Drosophila melanogaster: one gene and its partner. The protein of the gene in region 1 interacts with the protein of each later gene in a biochemical or structural test. Each region holds a gene or a part of one and is shown on either strand. Other genes may lie near its edges.

What was found.
Region 2: of the proteins of Syt4 (region 1) and Snap25, one has a biochemical effect on the other in vitro, tested with the Drosophila melanogaster proteins (one study listed by BioGRID).

Annotation. Positions count from the first base shown.
Region 1 is NT_033777.3:7,264,280-7,271,601, forward strand, and holds Syt4 (synaptotagmin 4), read left to right. Parts: upstream 1-1,785; 5' UTR 1,786-1,909; intron 1,910-2,516; 5' UTR 2,517-2,573; coding exon 2,574-2,616; intron 2,617-3,389; coding exon 3,390-4,576; intron 4,577-4,775; coding exon 4,776-4,850; intron 4,851-4,913; coding exon 4,914-5,033; 3' UTR 5,034-6,530; downstream 6,531-7,322.
Region 2 is NT_037436.4:24,072,227-24,077,277, forward strand, and holds the start of Snap25 (Synaptosomal-associated protein 25kDa), read left to right. Parts: upstream 1-1,953; 5' UTR 1,954-2,084; intron 2,085-5,051. UniProt on the Drosophila melanogaster protein: May play an important role in the synaptic function of specific neuronal systems. Associates with proteins involved in vesicle docking and membrane fusion.

The DNA of each region.
Region 1 (7,322 bases):
GCACACAAATGCGAACTCTTTTTTAATGGGTTCAGGTGTAAATGTGCGAGCATAGGAATTATTTGTTGATTTGTTCAAAAGAAATGTGTAAGTCCTGTGCGTTTTTAGCTCAAAGCTCCTTTGCAAAAGTTAACATTTTGTTGGGAATCACTTTTTTTATTTTGCTACCCTCTTCATGACTGTAATGTTTACTATAATGATTATATATTTTAGAGATTCCGTTGAAATTGTGTATATCAGCTCATTTCATTTAAAAGGAAAGGTGTTACTAATTTGTTGGGGATTTTGATATTTGTCATGACTAATCATTGATTATAAATATTTCTCCTCTGTTTATATTAATAGAAATATCGTTTGAAATAAGAAATAATACTGACTCAAACGTAATTTATGAAAAAAAAGTAGGCTTATTAGCCTGAATATGTCGGTTTCAAAGCTAGCACCAAACGGAAATTGGGATCGAAAGAAATGTGCTCAACATAAATAAGCGCAAGTAGTTTGTCTTTTACAATACGACTCATTCCGTCAAAATGAGGTGGTGGCTAATAAGCGGTGGAATCGGGTGAGAAACCGGGCTAATTTCCTAATACTGCAATGGACGTTTAATGAACTGGCTGGTATCGTAAAACACCTAAATGTGGGCACTTTTTCATTCGAATAATACCCTGGGTAATTGAGCACAAAATCGAACAGATTAGTGGTCAAATGGCAGACAATGGGTGACCGTTTTTGATATGTGTGGAAAAAGAAATATAAACCAGTAACTAAATTAGAAACGTGTCTAGAGCAGAAATCGTGAGGCATACTGTGCTCTGTGCCAGAAAAACAAACGAATCGAATTGGAGCTATTGCAAACAAAGTGCAGTAAATTTATCGCCGTGAGCCATCAGAAGACCGAACAAAATTCCGTTTCTTGGGCTTATGACAATGGCAAATTTCCAGCAGACTTCGGGCCAAAAAGCTGTCCAAATCTTTTGAGATTCCTCAATGCCAGAAACGGACATCGCGAATTTTTGGATTTTGGGGTTGTGCAAAAACCGAAAAGGCAGCAAATAATAGAAATAAAGACGATTGCATCAACTTACGATCGTAGAGTCCGGTGATGTGGTGTCTAGTTTCCTTTTATGCTTTAAATATTGAATTAATTGTTTATTCCTTATAGAAAATGCCTCGGGAAAATTTTTCAATGGCCCGAAGACGACAAAAACGTGTGTGCTATCTGCTGTCAGCAAGTTTTTCTGAGCCGCTTTTTTTTATCACACAAAAACACTGGCAGCGCTGCAAAATCGTTTTTAAGCCCTGACTTCTAGGGTTTTTGTCAGTTACCCGTATTGATCACTGCACTTGGATGGGCTTTCTGTTGGTCTCTTTCTCAACTTGTTCGAACTGCGCGCAGACGCAGACCGTTACCGACTCAGCTTCTGACCAGCAGGCGCCAGTCTTTTTAAACTGACGAAAAGCTCGAACTCAACGAAAGACAGCTTAAAGCTGGCCGCAAAGCTGCGCTCTCTGAAACTTGGTCTGAACCGGGAGCTTTTGAGTGTTTGCAATGAGTAGGTCTAAATTGGTCTAAATTTTACCTTTTTATAACTTTTTATGTATTTTATTACTCAACCCTTTACTCATGAATATGGTCTAGTGTTGTAAAACTTTCTTTAAGCACCCCTGACTTCGGCTAAGACGTCACAGGTTTCTTCAACCACCGCTTTCGGCTAAACAACCCACACAAAAAGCTGCTTGCTCGTGCGCCTGCGCGAGTTTAACGATTTCCCAGCCAAGTTAAGAAGCCACTGGCAAAATAAAGTCGAACGGCTGCAGAACTGCGTTGTTGATTTTTTTTCCACAATTTGTGGATGTGAAAAATATTACAATTTTTGGATATTAATTGTGCAGGACCAGATACAAAAAAGTAAGGCTATAATACATTCAAGCAAGTAAAATGTAGGCGTAAACAGGATTACGAGGAAAACGTAAAAACTATCAAGTGGCTACTATGGCTTTTCCGAGAATCTCTGATGCTGCAATAAACAATAGATACAGATACTGGAAGTGATAGTAAAAGGGAATATTTTCAAAACGTTACGAAGACCTAAATGAAAGAAAGGAACATTTCTAAATGTGGGACTTCCCATTAAAAATGGTTTCCAGAAGTTGAAAAACCTGCAAACTTCGTGTGCGTGTGTGCAAGGGCTGCGATGATTCATGCGACCCTAGAAGAGCACCCAAGTGGCTCATATGTGTGTGTGTGTGTGTGTGTCTCTCCCGCTCTCTTGCCAGAAAGTGTGCCTGAGTGGGTGTCCTCAAGTAATGCAAATAACAACAAAAGCCAAACGTCAGCATAACCTGAGCAGAAAGCAGGCAGCTGCTGCTCACGAAAAAGCCTCTAGCATACATTTGTGCGCAAAATCGAAGCACGCAATTCTTCACGTGCCACCGAAAGTTGCAAACATCCAAAGACAGCCAGCAAAACTTTTCCTCCTCACTTTTAAACCGTGACTAATTGTTATTCCACACAGCCGCCAGGAACATCGAGTGGAAACGTGCTGAGAGCGGCTAAGCCAAATCCATTTAAAATGGCCGAAGAGTATATCCCAGATGCCAGCGTCATGGACACGAGTAAGTACCATACCATATTGCAGCATCCAATGCGACCTTAGTGGTCGATCAGTCCAATTTGCTCATTAGCAACTTGTTCAAAATGTTGCACACAAGTTGTGCCAAACTTTTTCGGTGGCTATGAATAATTAATTCGGGTCTTTGTGCCTGGATTGTCAGGTTTCGAAGGGGATACGTGCACATGTGTTATTTGTTGTGCTCTTTTATTTGGGGTGAAATGTATAAGCTCAAAACGAATTGGCGAAAGTTAATGTTCTAATAACAAAGGAAGTCTACAAACAACTCACAGCTGTGTTAGGGAGAAAAGTTCTTTCTATTTTTTCATTTCGGTGACTAATTACAGAACATATTCAAAAGTGTGATTAAACGTTTTCTTTTGTGTTTTCGGATATTAGTAAAAGATAGAAAATAAAACGCTTTTTGTTATTATTGGATATTTAAATTTAATATTCGGTATTAGATTTATAATGATAAAATGTTCTATATAATTTTCTATTATGTTTTAAATTCTTTTAATTATCCCATTATATAATTTTGAGATTGCATATTGAGCGTCTATATATGTAATCTGGAATGGGGTGCTAGTGCTAGTTAACAGTGGGTTTTTCAAAACTTCCAACACAATACGAGTAAATTTTACTTTTGTTTATGGCTTTAAGGTTACACTAGTGACATTGTCCCATCACCACCTTGCACATATTTCAATCGAAGACAACGTTTTGGGTACAACTAAACTATGCATATGTTGCCTAACATACCTGTTGTCCTTTCAGTTGTCCCCGCCATCCTGGGACTGACTGCGGCTGCTGTCCTCTCGTCAGTGGCCTGCATCTGCGCCCGGCAGATGCGCCTCCGGAACAAGAAACAGAGCCAGCACGACGCCTCGTTCCCCTTCCAGCCGACCCGGCGACCGACCGCCGTTCGATCGCCCAGCGGCCAGCCGCCGCACTACTTGAAGAAGTCGCCCTCGCCGACGGGAGGCAAGCAGATGGGACTGCTGTCGCCGATGCAGGACCAGTCCACCTCCCCGATTGCGCAACCGAATGTCAAGTACAGCGAGGAGGGAGATGGACCCGCCCAGCATGCGGAGCAGCAGAATGGCAATCAACTGACCGTGGTGGATGGTAATGGGTTGAAGCACTCGCTGCACAACAGCCTTCACCACTCGCCGGTAGAGACGATCGCCAACGGAAGTGTGACCATTACCCTGGACGACCATTCGCTGACCAACGGGAAGGAGCTGACCGTGACCGACCAGTACGGCAAGCTGGGTACCATCTATTTTAAGCTGCGCTACTTGGCCGAAAGGAACGCCCTTATGGTGTCCATCATCCGTTGTCGCGGACTCCCCTGCAAGGGAGGATCGAGCGGAACCGGAGATATTCCCACTGGCATGAATGGACGCACTCAGGCGGCAACGGATCCGTATGTCAAGCTGCAGCTGCTGCCGGACAAGCAGCACAAGGTCAAGACCCGGGTGGTGCGAAATACCCGGAACCCGGTTTACGACGAGGACTTCACCTTCTACGGCCTGAACATGAACGACCTGCAGAACATGTCGCTGCACTTTGTCATCCTCAGCTTCGATCGATACTCACGTGACGACGTCATTGGCGAAGTGGTGTGCCCATTGACCTCCATCGAGATCGGGGACATCTCCAAAGAGGCTTTGTCCATCAGCAAAGAGATCCAGCCACGGAGCTTGAAGATTCGAGCCCAGGGTCGCGGGGAGCTGCTCATCTCCCTCTGCTGGCAACCAGCTGCCGGTCGCCTCACCGTCGTCTTGCTGAAGGCCCGAAACTTACCGCGCATGGATGTCACCGGACTGGCCGATCCGTATGTTAAGATATATCTCCTCTACAATGGCCAACGCATCGCCAAGAAGAAGACGCACGTGAAGAAACGAACTCTGAGCCCCGTTTTCAACGAGAGCTTCGCATTCGATATTCCCGCCGCCGAAGTGAGTAATAGTATATTCATTTACTATTTGTTTGTAGTTTAACGAAACACCATATCAATTACCTAGCATAGATTAATTGTTAATTGTTTTCTTGTGTTCGTATAATTATCATAGAACTTAAACATGGACGGACTATTTTTGAAAAGCTTTTATAATAATTTTAAAGAATCATAAGTTAACGTGCATATCTCAATTACAGGGCGCTGGCGCCAGTCTTGAGGGTGTGTCTTTGGAACTGATGCTGCTCGACTGGGATCGCGTGACCAAGAATGAGGTAAGTCGCATGGGATGACCTAATGCCAATAGCTGGATAATTGCACGCTCGATATTTCCACAGGTCATCGGTCGGCTGGAGCTGGGCGGCCCGAACTCGAGCAGCACCGCCTTGAACCACTGGAACGAGGTTTGCAACTCGCCGCGCCGCCAGATCGCCGAGTGGCACAAGCTGAACGAGTAGGGGAGGGGCAGGAACCTCCTGGGCGCAGGCGCCCCTTAATGAGGGGGAAGGGAGCAGGAGCAGGCAACCGAAATGGGAGTCATGTGACCTCGTTGCCACCATGAATTTCTCTTTGGTTTTTGGCATATGATTGCATATTGATTGAGTTTATTTTCTACTTTCTACTTTATATTTCACTTGATTTCTGGGAGATCACTTGCTTTGAGTTTGAAGCAAGATTAATGCGAGATAATTGGCCGTTAACGCCACAAGCAGAAAAGAAATATTTACCAAGCAACCACTAACTAAATTAAATGTATTAGAAAATGTTTAGGACCCTAAAAGTGCATGTAAGTGTAAGATAATTCAGAAACATCTCAATATAGACATGTTTAAATATGAGAATAAGCAAGGCAGGGGAATTCTCAATATATTTTAAACTGACACCGACTTTGTTGCTATATATTCATGTATGATTTTCATATCAAATAGTTGAAGTTATATTTAATGTGCCCACCACTGAAGTTGATTTCCTCAAAAGATATATTATTAACCATACATCTGTATAAAATATTTATGATATCTAACGTTTAAGCATACATATGTCTGTACAATTTAATTTTAATTATTTGAATATTTTAGTTTGATTGTAAAGACCTAAAGTATACCATCGCTTTAATGGATACAAGACATCAAATTTGCACACCCCGGAAGCTCTTAAAGTTTTGTCCAGAACGAAGCAAAGATAGATGCTTACTGCTTAACACTTTATACGTACTCTTAAAAATAAAAACAAATAACTAAAACTAATGAAACAAATAAAACTAAACCAAATTGAATCTAGAGAGAACACGCAGCAGAATGCTTAGCACCAAGAAGCTACAAAACCACACACAAATCGATCGAAAAAGTCAGAAAACATTGATTCGGAGAGGAAACCAACACAATACAATAATGTAAGCAGCATAGTACATGTAGGAATCAATTACCAATAACATACTCTAGAGTATAACCACTCACGAATAGCTCAAACCGAACGCAATAAGCACTACAGGTGTATCTAGCGGCACTACCTTTAAAGGCAACGGATGGAGGAGACCCCGATGAAAGCATAGCTTAACGAAGACACCGAATCATTATCCACTACTGATATTAAGTGTACTGAATACAATTATAAACTATACCAGATCTATATAGACATCAGCCCGCTTCTACGTATATTTTGTAAACTGAGTGTTAGAGCATTAAACTTCATTGAATAACTACGTGCATACAACCATAAGGATATATACAAGCATACATAGCGATTCGCGAGAATCGCAGATACAACTTCAATTCGTGTCCAATCAAAACTTCAATTCGTCTAATGGAAAAACAATAATTACCAATACATATGCAAAGAGTTTGTGCAGAGGAACCCAAATTATATGAGATGTGTATAATTCTACATTATATGTAATTGTAATTGTAAGCTACATCAAATGGTTAATTTCAGTAATAAAAGGTATTATATAAAACAATGTGCACTGCGAATTATTTGCATTAATACGTGTCTTATCAGCTCTCTTAATTCTGTGAGTATACTATAGTTAACAGAGTTTAAAGCACTGATAAGAGGAGATTCTTGCTTATACAAAAGAGTACAGACTAACAGATACCTATTATATCATTGGATTGCACATTTCTGCTTTCCTTACTATTAGATGGGTCGCTTGCCTTGAAGTCTAATACTAAAAACAATAATTGGCAATTGTTTGCCAGATGAAAGTTCCGATCGGCCAGATCAAAGGTTCGAATTATGCTATAGCAAGGTCTGCGATGAGGAGGGTTTTTATGGTGGGTGTTTAAATGGAACTCTAAATTGCGATAGAAAGATCGACTGTTGGGATGGAAGCGATGAAAATAAGTTCGAGTGCTTGCATGATGCAAATCTAAAGAATGAGTACGAAGACCTCAAAGGGAACTGTATGTAAGTTGTATTTGCTATGAAACTCAATTGGTTGAGTTTGAGTATGTTCACGTTAGATGCTGTCCTAGTATAACAACTAATTTATCTTATAAATTGCCCTAACATACTTACATAGTAAGTTTACCTATGGGACGACGTCCCATACTTTTAAGACAAATAATCCCAATTGCTCGTAAAATTTAAATATTTGATAAATTTATTTGAATTACTGAGTGAATTAAACCGTATGCATTTGTTATTTATTGTTTACTCTAACATACCTTGTTAGACAAAATTTATTAATGTTAAAGCTAAGGTGTGCTGCATAGCATCTTGTGTATGCGTTCCAGAGATGAGGACTT
Region 2 (5,051 bases), on another chromosome or scaffold:
TCGAGTCTCACATCGCTTACAACTTCGTTTAAAGACCGAAATGTTCCTTTGTGGCTCATTTCAAAGATCTCTCTTTATTAGCCACCAAAATTGTTTATGGGACTTAGATCTGGACTATTTGATGGCCAATCTAAAGCGTAACTTTTGTATATACAGCTGCGTTTAAAACAATAGCACTACTGCAGGTGGAAAGTTGATTTCGTAAAAAAAATTATTAAATGTTTATTTTTTTTTTTAAGTCAGATTGTATGAATAATAAGTACCATATGTTGCATCTCTGAGCAAGAAATTTTTACTCTTTCAATGTAACGGTTCTTTTTTGTTTTTGGGCACTTGCTGCAAAAGTGCCCAAAATGAGGCGGTAACAAAAATAGCACTGACCACGTATTTGCTGAATAAAATTAATAGGGGTGATTACTTTGGTTTTTTTTCGACAAATTTTGAAAAACGGAGTTGCACTAAAGGTTTTAATTGAATTTTTTCCAAACGAAGACCAAAAATTCTCTAGTCATGGGTCGCGGAAAGCATTGTACCGTCGAAAAAAGAAATTTGATTAAAAACATGATCTCTGAAGGTAAAACCTACTCTGAAATTGGTCGCATTGTCGGTTGCTGAAACAAAATGATCCGCAAAGCACTGCTGTTTGTCGAAAAGAACGAAACATGGAAGAAGGAGCTTCAGATAGCTAAAAGCGTGGAAACTGTTCGCAAACGCTTAGGACAAAGCAACCTTAATGCGTGCAGCCCCAGAAAAGTCCCGCTTTTGACTGTTAAGCATGTGGCAAAGCAATTTGAATATGACAAGATACACAAGGACGGGCCTGTGGAGAAGTGGCGAAACATTTTTTGGTCAGATGAAAGCAAAATTGTGTTGCTTGGTGGGAAAGGCTCTCGGTCTTATGTTCGGCGTCCACCACGAACTGAATATAATCCTCGTTACACCTTTAAGAAATTTAAAAATTGTTTAAAAGGGTGGGCGTTTTGTTGTTGAAAGTGGGGGGTGGGCCACAGTGTTACGTTGCTGTTTGGGTTAATAGTTTCATGATACGCACTTTGAAAAATGGAAAAGTCACTGTCACTATCTATCTATCACTATCTATGTATCTGTAAATAGAAAAATATTTTATAAAAAGTCTTGAAACTATTAACCCAAACAGCAACGTAACAGTTTTTATAATTAAATTAAAGGACATTAACTATTACGCTGAATTCAACACATAAAGGTATCGAAAAAATTATACGAGTTTTTGAAAAAACCCACTATTTTCCCGACTATAATACATATATTCAAAAAATCATTGATGTTTTCAAAGTCTGCAATCTTGCAAAAACAGTACGTAGACCAACGAAACTTATTTTTAAACTCCAGAGACAAAAAACTGAAGAGAACTTTACGTTATTGATATTAATGCTAGACAATAAAGAATATTTATCCTGTATTGACGTCTACTCAAAATGCATCCCCTATAAAAACAAAGAGATTGGTTGGAGATTGTTTGTCTTTCAAATTTTTACCAAACACTGTGGCCACGTTCCTCCTTTCACCTACACAACGCCCAAAACGGTAACGCCCACACTTTCAAACATATTTTTTTAAATTTTTTCTCATTTCATTCCCCAATATCTATCGATATCCCATACAAATGACGAAATTTCGCGTTTGCATTCCCTCAAGCTGAGTAACGGGTATCTGATAGTCGGGGTAACCAACTATAGCAATCTCTCTTGTTCCATTTCCAGACTATTACATCTGTTTATTCGAATTCGGAATATCATCAAGAGTAGCTGGGAGTATCATATCATCAAGAGTACGGGTATTAATTAGTCACGGGAGTGGACGGTATTTGATGGTCGAGGAAGTGGACTATTGCGTTTTCTCCTGGTGGGAACAATATAAATAATACACTTAAACATTCGTATAAGCCCTGCGCGCGCACGTGTTTAAGGCTAAAAGTGTCATAGCTGAACCACCTGATTTTGTTTCAATTTGGTGTTTAATATTTATACAGTTCTGTGTGTTTTGGTATCAAAAGATACGGGAAAAATATTCGTTTTTATTCTTCTAACAGCTATTTAAAAAGTCAGGTACTACAAAAGAAAATGCATATATTTTTTTGTGTACATCGCAAGCAAAACACGGCCTAAAAATGGCATGGCATAAATTTAGCATGTCAAAACTATTTGTAAAAACAGTATGGACTAGTGTGATTTCGATGGTTTCTTTTATTTTTGAAATCTTTCGCAAGAAAATAAATCGATTTGTATAATGTTAAATGGAAATACAGTTTAATAATTGGTTTTTGATATATGACCACGAATAAAAGCTTACAATAATAATCAAAAACTAGAGAGAATGCTATAGTCTAGTTACCTGACTATCAGCTACCCGTTACTCAGCTAGTGTTAATGCGAACTCCAAATTTTTTCTTGGATATCGATAGATATTGAGGAATAAAATGAGAAAAAATTTTAAAATTGTTCCAAAGTATGGGCCTGACCGGTTCGGCGCCTTTAGGGCGTTAGATAGAAATTTACAAGACTAATAAAAACGCAAAAAATATCAACACATCCTTTAAAAGTTTCTGAGATCACGACATTCATACGGGCAGACGGACATGGCTAGATCGACTTGGCTATTGATCATCACTACTCGTAGAGTAATTTAATAATAGTAATATTTTAATAATTTTATTTGTCTGGTAAATTTCTATCGATTTGCAAAAAATCTTTTTGAAACGCCCACTCTAACGCCCTAAAGCCACCGAACCGGTCTTGGCCCGAACCACTTTGGACCAATTTTTAATTTTTTTCATTTTATTCCCCAATATCTATCGAATTCCCAGAAAAATGATGCAATTTCGGGTTTGCTTTCACACTAGCTGAGTAACGGGTATCTGATTGTCGGGGAACTCGACTATAGCATTCACTCTTGTTTTATTTAACTACGATAAATCTGTATTAATTTCAGTTGCTATGTAGGTATATTTTGGTTTCTTATATTTTTTAAGGAAAGACAAACACATGCAAGAAATACATAATAATTTAATTTAAATTACAAGCACTAGAAAATCTTAAAAACAATTTGCAAATTAATTACAGTAAAATAACATTGCTGTTAAGCTTAAATATTGGTAAAAATAAAATAGAAAGAAAGCGAAAAACGCATTATTAATGTAAATTTATACTTATTAAAAAAACTCTAATACAATCCCTCATAAGAAAGCCATTACTAAATATCTTAGATACCAGAAAACATTGACGATCGTAACGATCCTAATTTAAAAAAGACAGAATGCTAGAGCAGAGGTTAACGACCTCCAGATACCCGTTATTTAGAGTGCGCGCTTGAGTATGCGTGGCTAAAAGTTTTTTGGCATGGAAGAAAATATTAATCTATCACTAAGGAAATCAATTCACTTCGACGAAATCAAGGCAATCGCAAATGTAGGATCATCAGAACTGCAAGCCCAACTACTCAATGGCGAATGCCTTGTTATCTCCACCCCGTGGGAAATCACAACTTTCAATACAACAAGTATGACCACATCAAGCATATCCACTGCATATCCACACATATCCATTTCACCGATCTCCCCGGTTCTGCCTAGAGCATGCCAAGAAGTACGCCACAAAAGCGACTCCATTCTTTTCCCCAAAATAACACATGGAACACGCCTTTGCAGTCGCTAAAGGCTTATAAACGATTTGTGCGGTTATCGCCCTGCAGATAAGGATGCCCCCCCACTTCGCAAGCCGCGATCGATCTTGGCAAACTGAAGCCTGCAATAATTAATACACCTGCTCCCGGCGCACCCCCACCTACTCGCCGTCTACCTAAAGTACTGCGGATCACGGTCCCCGGCGTGGTCAACTTTTTGACGTTCTCCAGCGAGCTGGACGCCCTCATTGGAGATTCATGCACAATACAAATATTAAATTTATATATATAAAATAAATATTAGTTAAAGATTAGTGATTTACTGACGTGATCCTGCGGCCTCATGATATCCAAATCAAAGGAAACAAAACCGGCAAAGGTGAACGAATTGATGACGAAACTAGGAAATGATGAAATTGATACTGATGTTTACGAAATATTGGATCAAAACGCAAGCACAAGTATGCAAACTCAAATCAATGATTTAAAGGAGATGCGTGGAGTTGCAAAAACATGTATGAATGCACAGCAGGTATATCGATCATTCAAAATCATTCAAATCGGCATTCGCACTTGATTTTCCAAGTGTGATGAATACAGCCGATGTGCAAAGAGATTTATTGCGACGATAGCGACGCAATAGCGAGTCATTCATCGAATACTTTTATGCGATGTTATGTATCGGACGACGTGGGAGTCATCAATAAATTCATATATTTTCAGCGGACTTAATTCACAAGAACTCACGAAAGCCTTATTAGCAATGGACATACGCACTTGAACAAGGTAACAGCAATGAAAAGCAACAGCAAAATGAACGGTGTTCCAAATGTTCTAGGATTGGGCATAATGAACAGGATTGCAAGGTGAAAACATCGTCAAAGAATGCTCAAGTGCATGAGGCAAAACATAAGGAGTATCCGCCAATAGTAAAAACAGTTCTGATTGGAGATCAAAAGTTTAAAGCGTTCATCGACACGGTCAACTCAACGTTAATACGAACATTAACAATCTGTTAAAATCCTATGAAGAATGTTTTGAAAAAGATTGGATCGAAAATTGGCAGGTGCAAGACGACGACGATGGTTATAGTGGTATCCATTACGAGTGCCTATGCGTGGACTACCGGGCTTTAAACGCTCTATTTGATGCCAATCGTAGAGGAACAATTGGCCCTGCTATCCGGAAGCATATACTTCAAGACGCTGGACCTCTGGTTATTACCAGGTCCCGATGGACGAGAAAAGCAAGCATTTAACGGCATTTATGACACCAAGTGGACTGAATTAATTTTATGTGATGCCCTTTGATCTGGTGAACGAACCTATGGTCTTTCAGTATGATTGCTTATCCAATGAGCAATTTATTGAAAAAGGATGTGGAGTTCGTATGGG